2 linked regions of the Styela clava genome follow. The protein of the gene in region 1 interacts with the protein of each later gene in a pairwise test. Links are inferred from orthologs where the notes say so. Each region holds a gene or a part of one and is shown in the gene's direction. Other genes may lie near its edges.

Region 1 (7,008 bases):
CTAGGTTAGGGTTAGGCCATAATTTTAGGTATAAATACTACGAGAGGCTCTTGGCTAGTCTTCGAACTGATAATAGGACTAAAATAAGGAAAATTGGAAAAAAATTATCGCCTAACCCTAACCTGTTACCCATGTTACGTTCCGATGTCCGCAATCTTGCTTCCCATACTTCAGGAGCACCATTTTACCTATCTTTAACTTAAAGCATGCAAGTCTTTATTTTATGGAATAGTTTTTTTTTATCTTATGGGAGAGGAAAGTTGATGATATGACTAACTGACATTATGATATGCCAAACCATGATCTCTTGTACATTTGTCAGTCTATATTGGGTAAGGGAATCATTAGCCTGTTACTTTTTAAATTGCATGGACTTGATAGTGTAGAAAGCCATCAGCATTTCAATATAAGTCTGCTGCAATGACAAATATCTTCTCATCTTAAGATGGGATATGAAATACTCATTCACTATATCTTATCTAGCTCAGTTGACAAGTCCAAACTTAATCAATTTAAAACGGAAAGTCAAATACCAGAATTATTACACTTGGTTTCGATTCAGAATATTCTGTCTGACACTGACTTAAACTGACAATCAAACAAGGAATCATGCCTGACATATTATGATTAAGCTGTCTTGTTGACTTTTCCGTATCTGGGATAAATATGAGTATTCCTAATCCATCATCCCCAGTTTTAAAAAGGAATCTCTGAAGTCTGAATGATATTTAATTATTTTTGTTTTATTTTTATAAGTGAGCATTTATTCCACTTCAGTTTTCTTAAAATCGCCAATTCTATTTACTTAACAATTTTACTCATCGGTATTTTATTATCCGGAATTAATTTTCTGAAGGACTCTCATTTACGCTTCACTGATTTAAATCTTTTGTTTTTCTGCAAATTTCAGTCGAAGTGATGTCGTAATCGTTGTATTCGCGCTGTTATTGTGATTTCTTCTACATAGTAATTGTCATGTTTCGTTTTTGTGAAGCAGTGAGCCGTACGATGCGTATAAAAGGATAATTTTACACATGAATAAGATGGTTCATTGTGTGGCGAGTGTGTGTATCTGCATGGTTTTGATTTTGAAAAGAACGAGATTGTCATTGTCGGTTAATTTCGGGAGTCTGTCAATATATTACGTGCGTAAACTAAGGTTCATGGAGTTCAAATTTTCGGAACTTCCGTTGTTAGCGTAGGTTAGGGTTAGACCATAATATTTTACAGTTTTCTTTCATGTTTTTATTCCGTGAAACGTTTAGCTTTGCCATACTCCTTTACTTCTCAGTATTGAGATTGAAGCTTATCGGTAACAAGTTATGCTTTTTGTAAAATATAGTATCAAGTTACATCGAAATTTACCACAAAACTGCTTCAGGCACAAACAGACTAAAATTAAAGTTTGATAATGATCATTTTGAAGTGAATTCTTGTTGGTATTATTTTTGCAGAAAAGGCTTCAGGTATTGCTGTTAAATTGTGAAAGGGCAGATTTCAGGTCCAAATCCCATGTCGCCACCTCAAGAGTGTAATAAATTAGGATGAAATTCTGGAGTTGGACTCGAGCTTCACCAAAAAGGTTCGCAACCACTGCTCTAACCACATGGCCATCATTATAGGAAATCGCTGCAAAATGTCTGAATATTAGTTGCTCATATTTACACTGAAATTGCCCTCAATTTTCTGTTTTTCTTGATATGAATTGTATAAGCTATAATGATATGTTAGACTTATAATGATATGTTAAGACTTATATAAAGCTGTAATTATCTCTCAAGATGTGTCTGTAATATCTCTGTTCATCTAGATGGAATTTAAAAGTCTATCATGTCATTTATTATGGAATGTAAAATTTATATTCAAATTGTAAAAAGTAGGGTTATAGAACTAAGTCATGCAGTTGATTTGAGGATTGTTCTATTTTTCATTTTCATAAGAATGGATATGGTCCCAATTTATATCTCAATGTCTCCCGTTCTGTGAATGGTTATTGGGCTGTCGACAAGTTAGGAATAGGAATGGATATATAGTTCCAATCACCATTTGAGTAAAACTCTTTAGAGGGCTTAATAATACCATATAAACAGTAGACTTGATTTTAAGCGCTGCTGCATGGGATGTGCCTATAAAATGTATTTTTTCATTTTCATATTTTTAATGTTTGTGGTTGGATTAACTTGGATGTATGCCAATTTTTTTTTTAACCAATGGTACAATTACATTTTTGGGGGTTTGGTATTCTAGTATCTCTACTTTTTATTATTTTTTTATTATAATTATATACCGGTAGCTGACTGGAATGTATAATTTTCGAAGCTCCAGAAGTATGTGCACAAAGATGGCGCACAACCTAAACATAGTATGTGTACCAGGTTAGGGTTCAGGTTGTGCACATATTTCGGGAGCGCTGTAAAATTCTTTATTTATCTATATATCCTCACATATAAGCAGAGTTTAAACTAAAAAAAAAGTTGCCAAACAAAGGGGTCTTAGAGCGCATAACTTGATAAAAGTTAAACATAAGAATAATGGTTATCATTTTCAGTAATTCTCTTCTACAACCGTTTTTTTGTGGTAGGTGCAGCGTGTTATGATTTGTAGGGTCAGCTTATATGCGAATTTTTATAAATTCACTGTTGAAGGGCTGTTTTGCAGTAAATCTTTTCCTGTATGCTCACAATACTGTATATTGATCAATTTAAATGTAAAAATTTCTGTTAGCTAAAGCCATGGGTGTGAGGTGATCCATAAAATCTCCTAAATCTTTTTGATCGCACGAATGTAAACAAGAAAACATCTTCGTGTAAATATTTACAAATTTGTCTAGACAAGGTTCACTCAATTAAGGTGTCTGAACATTCTACACTAATAAATTTGAGATTTATTTTTTAGGAAAGCAGTTCCAATTCTGCAAGGTGGAACGTAATATTTTTTGCATTCATTTTGAGAAAGATGGAAGCTTATAATATATTTGGGGCGCTCCTGAAGCATTTGTACCAAGAAGTCGCACAACCTGAAAACCCTAACCTGATACACATACTATGCTCAGGTTGTGCGCCATTTTGATACGAATACTTCGGGAGCACCATATTTGGTACTCAATTTGAGCCCAAACTAAATTCAATCGCAATCACAACAAATTCTTTGGGCTATTTTTTTTAGCTAAAACATCAGAATTTGGTTTTTGTTGGATTGTGGCAGCATCAGGCAGGCCAGATTGAATTTGGCCCGTGTGCCGTATTTTACCCATGTCAGAGATAGCATTTTGCAATGTAATGAAATATCATTTAGACCAGGGTTTTCCAAAGTTGTCGGCTCTGCGGGCCACAAAATTATTTCTGCATTGTTCGCGGGCCACAATAGTGCCAAGAATAGGTAAACAATGCAATACAAATCGAATACTTTATTGTGCAAACACATAGTTATCAGACATAGCCATTCCGGGCTAATAGAATCCGCATTCGATTTTTAGTTTTCTATGATGCCTATATTGTAAGCATATATTCCCAACCAAAAAGATAGAAAGCCAGATAATAATTTAGACTGCCAAGCACATCATTCAACTTCGCTAGTTGCCTCAGATAGCCATAACACTAGTCCATTCAGTGACATTATTGATGTAACAATATGTCAAAAGGTTTTTCTGATTAATTTTATGACAAAACAACACGGAGTGCGATTTCTTGATTACTTTCAGAATATGATGCGGGCCACAGATAATGAAGCTGGGCCTGGGTTTGGACCACCCTGATTTAGACAGTATTCATTTGCTGCTTTTCCTTTGTATGAGATTTCCATTTCTGAGTCTGTTTTTGTGCCTTTGATGGTGAAAGAGATTCTAAAACTCATTTTATTGCATTGTCGGTATTAAATTTTTCCCAAAATGCCTGTTTTTCGATCTTTTTCATCTAAGTACTAAAATTCTTATATCTTTCAGTTTTAAATGTTAGTGTATGAAAATACAATTGATTAGCTTGGTTGTAAAGCAATACTTCTTCATCTCGTCATCTTCTGGATTCTTTGACACTAGGTGGCACTTTTTTGTGAAGAGCTAAGCAGGTGAGGACATTTTTAAAGATTCATTTAGTTATAGTTTATGATTATTTGACTATGCTCTAAATTTCGTTTTTCATTATTTTTGAATATTAATGAAGATTATCATGATTATCATGATGTTTAATTTCAGTGTAATTTTCATTTTTTTTTGTAATGCAAGAAGGTTTCAATTGTTTTATTCAATTATTAAAACAATGAAGACTCATTTACTATTAAGGTCCCATTTATAGGGACAAAATGGCTCAAATTTGATTAAATTAAATTGCCAAACAAAAGTGAATGATTCTTAAATTTATATTATTTCGATAATAAATTATTTTCCAATTATTTCACACATTTCTCGAAACTGAATTTCTCGACACCTCTATCAGAATTTCTTTTTTTTGAGTAAATTTTGTTCAGTTTGAAATTGAAAACGTGTCTTTTTTCAGGACCTAACCATCAAAAATGTTCAAATTTTTAATGAAAAAATTTCAAGAGGACGTGTTGTGCACTTTAAGCATCATTATTAATAATAGAAGAACCAGATTTTTATTAACTAGACTTTTAATAAGCAAAAAGTTTCTAAATTTCTTATAACACATTCTTTAATAAATAGCCATTGATACAAGCTTTTTATTTGGATATACCGTTTAGACGGCAGACATAGGTGTGTCCGGATATAGTTTGTCAATATTTGCAACACTCGAGAGTTATCTGGTGTCAAAGAGAGTACTTTGCGGTCTACTTGAGTTAATTATATTTCATGTACTTTAGATTTAGAACAAGTATTTTCAATTGCTATAATATCATAAATCAATTATACAATTATTATTCCATGTTTTTTAAATTATGATATAATTTATGGAATTTATGAAAATTTGTTTACTTTTGAACACTTGAATGATCATGGATTTTACATACCGGTAATCATTATTTTTAATTTACTAATTTTTACTTAATCGATTCAATTTTCATGTTGAAGGCAACATTTTTTAAAAATTTGAGCAGTAGTTCATATACCTTGGGTTCTTCATAATTTCTTTGCTTTCTTAGGAGTTTCTTATGTGTGAGTGCTTGGAAACATACTATAATTTTTTACAATATTTGATATAGCCTATTACATTTATAGGAGTTTTTTTTATATCTTCACTCAAACAAGGATATCTATATAATCGGTGTCTACTCACCTCACCTTACCTCAGAGTAAAGATATGTAATTAATGCATTATTAGACTAACAGATTATCTTATCTAGAAAGACAAATTCCGTGTTCAAGAAGTCTCACTACTAGATACAATATTTCTTTATAACATATTGATTTCTTTAATTTTTAATTTTGCAAGCTCTCACGAGGAATTGTTTAAAACCATAAAATGTCTGTTTCTTTAGCCAAGATGGAGCCGTTTGAAAGAGAAGTAAGTTTTTGTTGTGTCACAATATCATCTCGCATGCTTCGTTGTGATGTCATAGTAATGTCAGCTTCTGCTAAGGGTGACATTAGTCTAACATAAATTCACATTAAAAGACATTGCAAGTTTAAACTTTGGGCTTCCATTAGAATTTTTTATCCATTTTTTTTCTAGTAAATATGCTAAAAGAAAATAATTTACTATTTTGAATACTTTTTGTATTTTTGAATTTCGTCATAAGCACGGCAACAGAATATTGATTCTATTATTGATTTTGTAGTGAAAAAACAAGTTATGATGAAGCGGAGGTTTTATTGATTGGTTTTCCACAATTATAAGAACTTAATTATCTAATTAGCAAACCAGGAATTTCTAATCTCAATTACGGTATGTAGAATCACATTATTAAAATTAAAATATATCTAATCATTTTTAATATCAAGAATTAACTTTTTAGAACATAACTAATTTTGAATATATTCCAGTTTTTGGTTCGCTTAGAGCAGGGGTGTGCAACAGGTGGCCAACGGGCCAACAACTGACCCGCCAACTGAAGCCGAGTCATTTAGTGTGAGCCTTGTCAACACTTAGATTTTTCCTCATCAAGCATAAAATCCTAATCACTCACATGAATAGAAATTGTCTTGTCACTGGGTTAAATATTGCATTGTGATAATTTTTTGTCGGAATTCATATGGAATACTAATTTTTTTGTGTGGCCCAACTTGAGGTTCCAATGTGCCCCGACGACAAAATATGTTGAACGACCCTGGATTAGAGCAAGTAATCATAATCTTCATATGCTGTCATGGTTTGGGTGTGCTCGTTTGTTGCTTTTGGTGTCCATGCCGTTAATAAATATTCCAAATATTTACGGTAAAGAAACTAAGGAGTTTATCAAATCAAATATACTAAATTTAGGGGGCTCCCGAAGTATGCGAACCAAGATGGCGGACATCGGAATGTAATATGTGTACTAGGTTAGGGTTAGGCCATAATTTTAGGTATAAATGCTACGGGAGGCTCTTGGCTAGTCTTCGAACGGATAATAGGACTAAAATAAGGAAAATTGGAGAAAAATTATCGCCTAGCCCTAACCTGTTACCCATGTTACGTTCCGATGTCCGCCATCTTGGTTCGCAGACTTCGGGAGCCCCAAATTTAGACCAGTGGTTCTCAAACATTTTAGGCCGCCCCACATATAAATTTTAGAATTTTTTAAGTCTCGCGCCCCACCTCAAAAATAACTACCGGTAGCTAACAATAAGCTACAATTACAAATAACAGTTAGAAAGTATGTTTTGTTCGAAAAACACGTTGAAGATATGTGGATAGAACATTTAAATATCCAGAATGAGAAAAAGTAAGGTAAATAGACAAAATAAGGCGGGCAAGATCAAATTTAACAAATAATTTTATTTCAATTAGCCACATGCCCCCTCAAAATATTGTCTACGCCCCTCTTTTGGGGTGCGTCCCACTGGCTAATTTCCACTGCTTTAGAGAGCATATACATTTTGGTTCGTTTTGAAGCAACTTGTATCATCAATCAAATGCT
Region 2 (8,102 bases), on another chromosome or scaffold:
TTTAAAACCATTCAAATTTACTCTATTATAATGTTGACTTACTGTGGTAATTGAATTTGATCACGCACGCACCACGGGGCAAACTTACTCACGGAGTGTGTTTCATATTGCCATACTTGATGTAGCGTACAATTGATAAGCATTATCTTTTCTAATTTAGGCAAGCTCTACACGAGATATTGGCCAATATGCAACCTGAAGAAGATATGGACGTCGCACACAAGTCGGGTCCGCCGGTGGATTTTACCTTCAGAGATTTAAGAGCTGTAACAGGTGAGCATTAGCGATATCTCTTATATTGTTTCTTTCATGACATGGAATTAAAAGTTGCGAGTTGTGTCGACTATTAGCTCATTATAATGTTATAAAAAAGTAACCGTTAAGTGAACACGGACGACAAGGTATTTCAATCCGGCTTTTCCAAATTATTAATATATTTATGAATTTAAACCCCAAATCTCAACACGCCTGGGATGACTTTAGGGGAAGAAATAAGGTCAACAAAATTGTAATTCCCCAGTCAAATGCTACGGGTACACTTAGTTAATTAATCCAAGTTAATCAAAATATGATGTATAAAATCTGATTCAGATATATGCAAAGTTGATCCACGCGAAGGACCTAATAAATACGTAAAAATTGAAGTTAAAAGAAAGAATGAAAATGACGAAGTACCTTTGTTTCCCGAGGACAATGACAAAAAGAATGATGAGCCAAGACAATTTTATAAATATTGCAGGTATATATGTATTTTTGTTTGCACTTTTTGTAAGTTTATTCTATATATTATATTCTGCATATGAATAAAATCCAAAAGACGATATCAACGGAGTGTTTATGGTGTTGAGGAAATAAATGTTGAAGGTCTCATTCTCATCTCCACCAATGTTACAACTCTCGTTCATTTATACACTGCCTGGAGAAAATACATCATCTAATTGCTATAGAATATAATTTGATCTGTCTGTTTAGTTTAGTTTACCAAACTGACTTCGTTTTTGTAAGTCATCAAAAAATATATTTCTTGACGTTCAACCCGTTGTTTATCGATAGTATATATCAGTTATCTTCACAATAAAAATATACGATTGTTTTGGTTATTTATTTAGCAAAGCAATAAAGCTTGGGAACAACTCACTAGCTAGACTTGAGAACTTCAGCAGCGGATTACAGGCAGTTCTTGAAGATCCAGAATCGATTGAATGGATCGACTTGTCATTCAATGATTTAACAAAGATTGATAACGTGAGTTAAATAAGTCATGTTAAATTTTGTTATCAGAATCTACAAAGTTTCGAAGACAAGTAAATAAATAAGTAGCTCATTGACACCAAGGTTACTTTTCAAATGTATATATATTTTTATTAAAGTATAATGTGTATCTGATTAGATGTTACAAAATATTTGTCATTTGTGTCATTTCAATATTCATTTCCTTCGTTGCTACAAATCTTTGATTTTGCCTTGTTTCTTTTTTGTATCATGATTTGTATCATTTTCTTTTGAAATTATTTTATATTTTTATTCCTTCCGTTCGAAACTTTGATACAAATTTCTAATTATATATTCAAATATAACCAAATATTTTCTAATATATCTGAATCCACTTTTACAATGAATAACATTTTTCAGGTTATCTTAGAATATCCAAATTTGAAAGTTCTTTACCTTCATGCGAATTACATTGATGATCTGAAACAAGTCGATAAACTAGCTGCACTTCCTCATCTCAAAACTTTAACCCTGCACGGAAATATGATTGAGGGAAAGAAAGGATACAGGTATATTGCTATGGTTATTCGCACTCTCTAGGTAGTGCCTCTAGGTAGTTAATATCTGCCATTCATTTATGTGACCCGTTCGTCAAGTATGACTTATATAACTATCATTACGGCAGAGTGAGATCGCCATGTTGGAGAACAGATGTGTACCGTATCACCTAATTTCGTCCTATCCCTGAAACATATTTCTGAAGTTTAAACAAATTCATTTTAGAAACAACTCATTTGAAGTTTGTTTTATACATTGGATCATTGTTAAAACCACGAATTGGAAATTTGAAATCGCGCATTATTTCTATGCGTTTTTCTTCATAATTTTTTGCTTTCCCTAACAACTTATACCTTATTTATTTTCAGGCAATATGTGATAATGACAATCCCGCAACTTCAGTATTTCGATTTCAGTCGAATAACAAAAGCAGATAGGGACAAAGCACAAGTTTGGAGGAAATTGAAGCTCATTGAATCAACTACTCACAAAAAGAAACCAAAAGCGGCCGAAGCATGAATAAAGAACAAGATATTGTCCAAGGCCAATTCCACTGCTTCTTACTTTGATACTATTTCTTCTTTTATGTATAGCTAGTCCAAAACTTTTACAAAATTTCATTAGAGTGAGTCATAGGTAGAACTCACTGTTGAACTCAGAAATTATACCATCTCCCAAGCTTCAACACGCCTGTTATTAGAAAGTGGTTAACCTAGTTGGCTGTACCCAATAGCCCTGAATTTTTGATCAGTCACAACAAATTATGTGTTTTTTATTCGCGAATTTTTGCGTATTGTTCTATGGCTATGCGATAGAAGGTTTGTGCATTATGTACCATGGAATATTTGCTTGTTAGCCCGCAGTCAGCTCTTCTCTGCATATGGTTCTGCACTTCATCTGGCTTAAGTCAACATTGACCAGTGATTTCCCTACACCCCCCCTATAGGGGGTGAACACCCCCCCTAAAATTTCAAACACCCCCCCTAATTTTGAGGTGCGATTCCACACTGAGGGGTTCTAAACCGCAGTCTGCGGGTCAATTACGGCCCGCGTGACGATTTAAAATGGCCCGCCGAACTTGAGTGAAATAGTTTAACACTTCATGTGGTACCTTTTGAGTTTTAGATACCGTCTATTGTTACATCATTATCACAGTTTAAGCACGTTTATTTCGTAACAATTGAATTATTTATTCTATCAGCTAAATATTATAATAATTGATTTTATTACATAACAAACTGCGATGCTAGGTGTATCTAAAATCAAGCTTAGAGCATATTTTGGTGCCTATTTCTCAAAATTTTCCCCCAGCCGTGTCGTCCCGCATTTTTCCTCGCTCCCCTTTTCTGGCCCTACAATTTCATTCTGCTGTGGATTTTGGCTCGCCGTCAATCAACTTGGGGGGCCCCCCATGTACATCATTTCCTAAATACATACCATTTTTTTAAGAATACAAATAGCCTAGTTTTATCTCTAATAGCAAATTATTTACCACCCCCTAAATTTTGAAACACCCCCCCCCCCCCCCCCCCCTAAAGAGAAAAGCTGGGGAACATACTGACATTGACTATTGGTGGACTCACTTTTCGAGGTCACTTTTGATCAAATATTTATACCAAACTTGTCCATGGGACATATTTTCTGACCAATTCTATACCATGCGACGTTTCCCATGAGACATAAATTTTTTGTCCCATCACATTGCAAGTTATGCCTGTCCCATCCCATGGGAAGGTCTCTCACGGAAATGCCTGGTTGATACAAATTAGAAAATTTGCATTTATGTGTCTAGCGTAAATGATGCACATCCCGATGGTAATGGATTCGTGTGGTTGAATATAATTCTGGGTGATTTTTAGGAATACCTATTTTGGCATTGTGTCAAAATGTATCGAATCTAAACGTAGTCATATGAATGTTGCTTTTCTTTCAGTTTGCGTGCCAACTGGCGATAATATAAATTTCACCTTTGAGCAGTGTTACAAATGTTATCAGATTTATATTGTTTATATAGTGTTTTCTTTGTTTGTCGCCAGTATTATTACATCACGTTACAGAGTACATTGCATTTTCTTTTCTGTTGAGCATTCAGATTTTATCAGTCAACTCTAACTCCGGTGAGCATTCAAGCATCATAGTACATTTCTTCTATTTCATAACTCAAACTTTTACTTACTTCAGAATTCTACACTGCCATTAATAGTGTAGATCTTTTCTTCTCACATTTTTTCCCTGGCGCACAATGATAGAGAAGTAAGCATCACAGCAGGCCTACAATTCCGAAATCATTTTTCATTATTTTGTATATAGGGTATACATTTTTAGGCAAGATGCTGCTAAGTTTGCGAATTAAGTATCCCTAATTCCGGCAAATAAAAAGCTTGTTAATATAAATGTTGGAATATTTTGCGCCAGTTGTAATTTTGATATGAAACACCATTATTAATTCCATCATTTTTTTGCGCATCCAAAAAGATATTTTCGGGTACATATACAGACTAACTATAAATGATATACCTAAATTAAAAGAATATACATATATGCTGATCTTGTACGGTCGCTTGTTGTAGATAAGCACATGTCATGATTGAACAAGCGTGAAATATCTGCTCTATTTCATAATGAAACTGCAATACGAAGGGTAATCGTTGCAAAGGAGTGTGCTTGTACCAGGTGCGAGAATGCATTTGGGTTACTGATTAACATCAACATCATAGTGTTTGTATTGTTTCCGAGCAATGATAAAATACTTTCGCTATGCCAAGAACGGGTCTCACTTGGACTGCAACACCTCGATTAAACAAATTCAGCAAGGAGTATGTATATACGACAGAAACAGTGTTGTAACTATTGTTGTTAACGGGATTATTTCTGTTGTAACAGTTGTTTTTCATTACTTATATTATTAGTTTTTAGTTATACAATAGATTCAAGCCCCAATGGATGCAGAATATTTCTCGATCTCATTATTACTAGTATTATCAATTGAGTTACTCAAAGCTTAGATAAGCGCGTTGTTACAAGAAAGAAAACACATCACCAAGATTTTTCTCACATTATTGTTTCACAAGGTTAAAAAATCCGTAAATAAAAACAATCCACATACAATATGCTGAATCTAAACAGCCGAAATAGATAGCGACAAGGCGTTTTTTTATGTCAGTCGCATCTGGGCGACAAAGAGTTGCTTGAAAAGGCATAAAATGCACAGTTTCTTATTAGGTTCACTAACTAATTGAAAAATCAATTATTCTAATTCAAACTAATGCATTGTGGCAAATATTTGACAAGGTATCAAAAAGGAATATGTCTGAGGAAGATGATGTTTTTGATGATGAAATTGATCCAAGAATAAAGGTTCGTAATATTCAAATTGATAGTTACAAATTGATAGAATACTTAATAAATCTAGCTTTACGTTAACTCGAGCAAAATAGTTATTTGAATTCCAACCTAACTGATCAGAAAAGAATGAAATATTATATTCTATATTCGGTGTGGTCGAGTGATTTAGTATGATAGATGTTTCTGACTGAGCGGAAATTAACGCTTGCTACAGTAGGTTGAAAAGGTCTTGAAAAGCACCTTATTCGAGAAATGATTCATGTTCAATTCTATAAAAGTATATTTTATATATTATTCACGTTTCATCGTTAACAAAATATTTTGTATACAGTAAATTAGGTTGTTTCTTAAAACATTTTTTATCCAACTCATTTTTTGGATTTTGGGGTGATAAATGTATTCGTATCCTCCAATTACATCTGAATAATTTTTGCCTAAAAACTTTCTGATTTTTGTGCGGTTACGCATGTTCTAATAAATATAATTTTGTCGATATATGCTTTTCGACAATAGCACTCACAAATGAATATAATATGCCACATTCCAGTCCTCTTTTCAATAACACATTTTTAGCAAATGCTAATTTTATAGAAAATCGATAATTGCCCTTGAATTCCCCCATAATTCCATAATATTAAATAAATAAAAAGAGAATGAGATAATAAAATTTAATATTTCATTGGTGAAGAGAGAATAAATTTTCACCTGAAAGTTATGCTTGACATCTCGATGTCATCGTTCTGACACCATATCAATCATTCAGAAGCCAAAACAAAAGCACGGATTTTACTTCTCCTGGAACCTGCGCTTAATAATGCTGTTGTAGATTAGCCCGATTTTACCGAAAAGAAATTATCTCGGCAAAATCTCTCCTGGGAATACGATCGAGTCGCAAGATTAATTTTCGGTTCACGCTAAATTCAGTCATTTTTTTTTGTTTTAGACGAAAAAAAAACGCGAATTACGTGAGCCATTCCTATCTACTACTTGATTATAATAACCACAGTGACGCCATCGACAGCGATTTTTTGCGTAAACTCATTTGTGAGAACATTGCTGCCCTCAAACTCAGAACTTTAGTTCAAGTATTGTTAGTACATATATAAATTTAGTACATTCAAAGCGGGTTTATTTTTTCCACCATCATTTTATTTTGCTGACCTACAATAAATTTCCATTGTCGATAATTGGTGGGAAAATCATTCGAATGACACTTTTAACCCGATGTTCGTAGTCGAAGCTGACATACGGTTCAACACAGCAAGATCTAAATAAATAATGAAGTTACAATAATACGCAAAATCATTAAAATAGAATTTAATACCGACTTAGGAAAAATATACTTCTGAATTTGCACACACATTATATACGGTACCAGTATCTGTACTTTTGTGGTCTCCGTGGTTTATGAAATAACAGTCAGGACCAAAGTAGTTCGGCATTTAAATAAACCGTAACGTGATTAGTAATTTTATCCTTCCAGAAAAAAGTTATACACTGTGAAAAAAAATCGTGATTTTATTTTTATTTTGTGATAATTGTGGACGTGTTTTTTACCTAATTGAAATTTGATGGCGTATTGATGCCTGAAGCCAAAGAGTGTGTGAGCAATGGAAATTATCACATTTTTCGCTCAGGATGACGGTCTTTTTTTAACAATTTCCGATATTCTAAACAGCGAGCAGTAGTTATTTCAAACTTTTTTCAACCGTTTGTTCGTGGGCATATTGAATATATTTAATACCTTGCTTCTTTCGTTTTTTCGATAATTAACAATGATAGTATTTGTGTAATTCCACTTTCAGGGAGAGCTTGACACTCTTAATCAGTCTACTGATGAAATAAATAAGTTGGAAACAGAGCTGAATGAATATCGAGAAAAGTTCAAGGCATCTCTCGCTAGTGCGACACAACAGCTGCAAAAATTAACGAAAAAATATGGCAAGTCTATTGAACGAGCAAGACCGTATTATGAAACTAAGGCACAAGTTTCTCAGGTACTCTATGGCCAGTCAATTGTTGAATCCGTGGCTCAAAGGGATATGTCGAATTATACCGATTATGATATTTCCTAACAAAATAGTTCTCTTCTTTCAAATCACCCAGTATATAATCTGTTAAAAGTAGAAATATTATACAAGTTATATCAAAATAAATTCAGTGAATTTCTTGGCCTAATCTTTGACGTACAAGTACAACACGCTATGCCAATTTACAAACAAAGTTACTAAGCTTTTAAAATTCTGAATTTAAACAAAATCATGATATTACTTTTGCAACACGGAAATTGATTGTAGCAAATATGGAAATTCGTTTTTTCTTATATGTCACATAGGCGCAGTTAGCACTTCAAAGAGCTGTTCATAATTTTCAACGAGCAAATGGAGTTTATCGAGCGGCAAAAGAAACAATCGCTTTAGCGGAAAGTCGCTTGAGCGAACTCGACGATAAAAAAGTCGATATGGCTTGGCAAGAAATGTTAAATCTTCAAACTATAAGATTTATGGATGCTGAGAGGGACAGGTAATTATATTATATTTATAATAACTTGGAAGTTATTGTTTATGAATCATTTATTCAAACTATTTTGTGAAATATCGGATAAAATATCTATATCATTGACAATTTATTTCTGTTTCAATTTGTAATAATTTGACTGTTCCCAGTCAATATTCGACACAAAATACAACCAAAAATTCGTGTACAAGTCAGTTACACATTTCATATTTCAGATATTCATAAATTCTCCAACTTTTTCTTAAAATATATCTCAGAACTCGAAGCGAAAGTCTTCATCAACGAGCGACCAAAAGATTTCAATTCCTCGACGGCAAGCTACAAGCACATCATAGAAAACATAAAAATTCAACAAAGAAAACAAAACCTTACTTTGAGTTGAAAGAACTTCTTGAAGTTGATTTGCAAGTAAAATTTTCCACCTATTTATTCATGATTTAGTTGTGCTTGTAGAAATAAATCAATCACGT

The links. The genes of interacting proteins can lie anywhere in the genome.
Region 2: the proteins of spectrin beta chain, non-erythrocytic 1-like (region 1) and uncharacterized protein LOC120331932 interact in a two-hybrid assay, tested with the Homo sapiens proteins (2 studies listed by BioGRID and IntAct). The link is inferred for Styela clava from reciprocal best matches to the Homo sapiens genes SPTBN1 and SH3BP5.

Annotation. Positions count from the first base shown.
Region 1 is NC_135262.1:2,863,782-2,870,789, forward strand, and holds the start of spectrin beta chain, non-erythrocytic 1-like, read left to right. Parts: upstream 1-3,945; 5' UTR 3,946-4,062; intron 4,063-5,384; 5' UTR 5,385-5,414; coding exon 5,415-5,456; intron 5,457-7,008. UniProt on the Homo sapiens protein: Fodrin, which seems to be involved in secretion, interacts with calmodulin in a calcium-dependent manner and is thus candidate for the calcium-dependent movement of the cytoskeleton at the membrane.
Region 2 is NC_135255.1:7,746,493-7,754,594, forward strand, and holds the start of uncharacterized protein LOC120331932, read left to right. Parts: upstream 1-4,990; 5' UTR 4,991-5,076; coding exon 5,077-5,127; intron 5,128-6,920; coding exon 6,921-7,112; intron 7,113-7,450; coding exon 7,451-7,638; intron 7,639-7,889; coding exon 7,890-8,040; intron 8,041-8,102. Other genes in the region: leucine-rich repeat-containing protein 51-like, read left to right, coding at 161-273, 592-739, 1,110-1,245, 1,633-1,781, 2,139-2,289. UniProt on the Homo sapiens protein: Functions as a guanine nucleotide exchange factor (GEF) with specificity for RAB11A and RAB25. Inhibits the auto- and transphosphorylation activity of BTK. Plays a negative regulatory role in BTK-related cytoplasmic signaling in B-cells.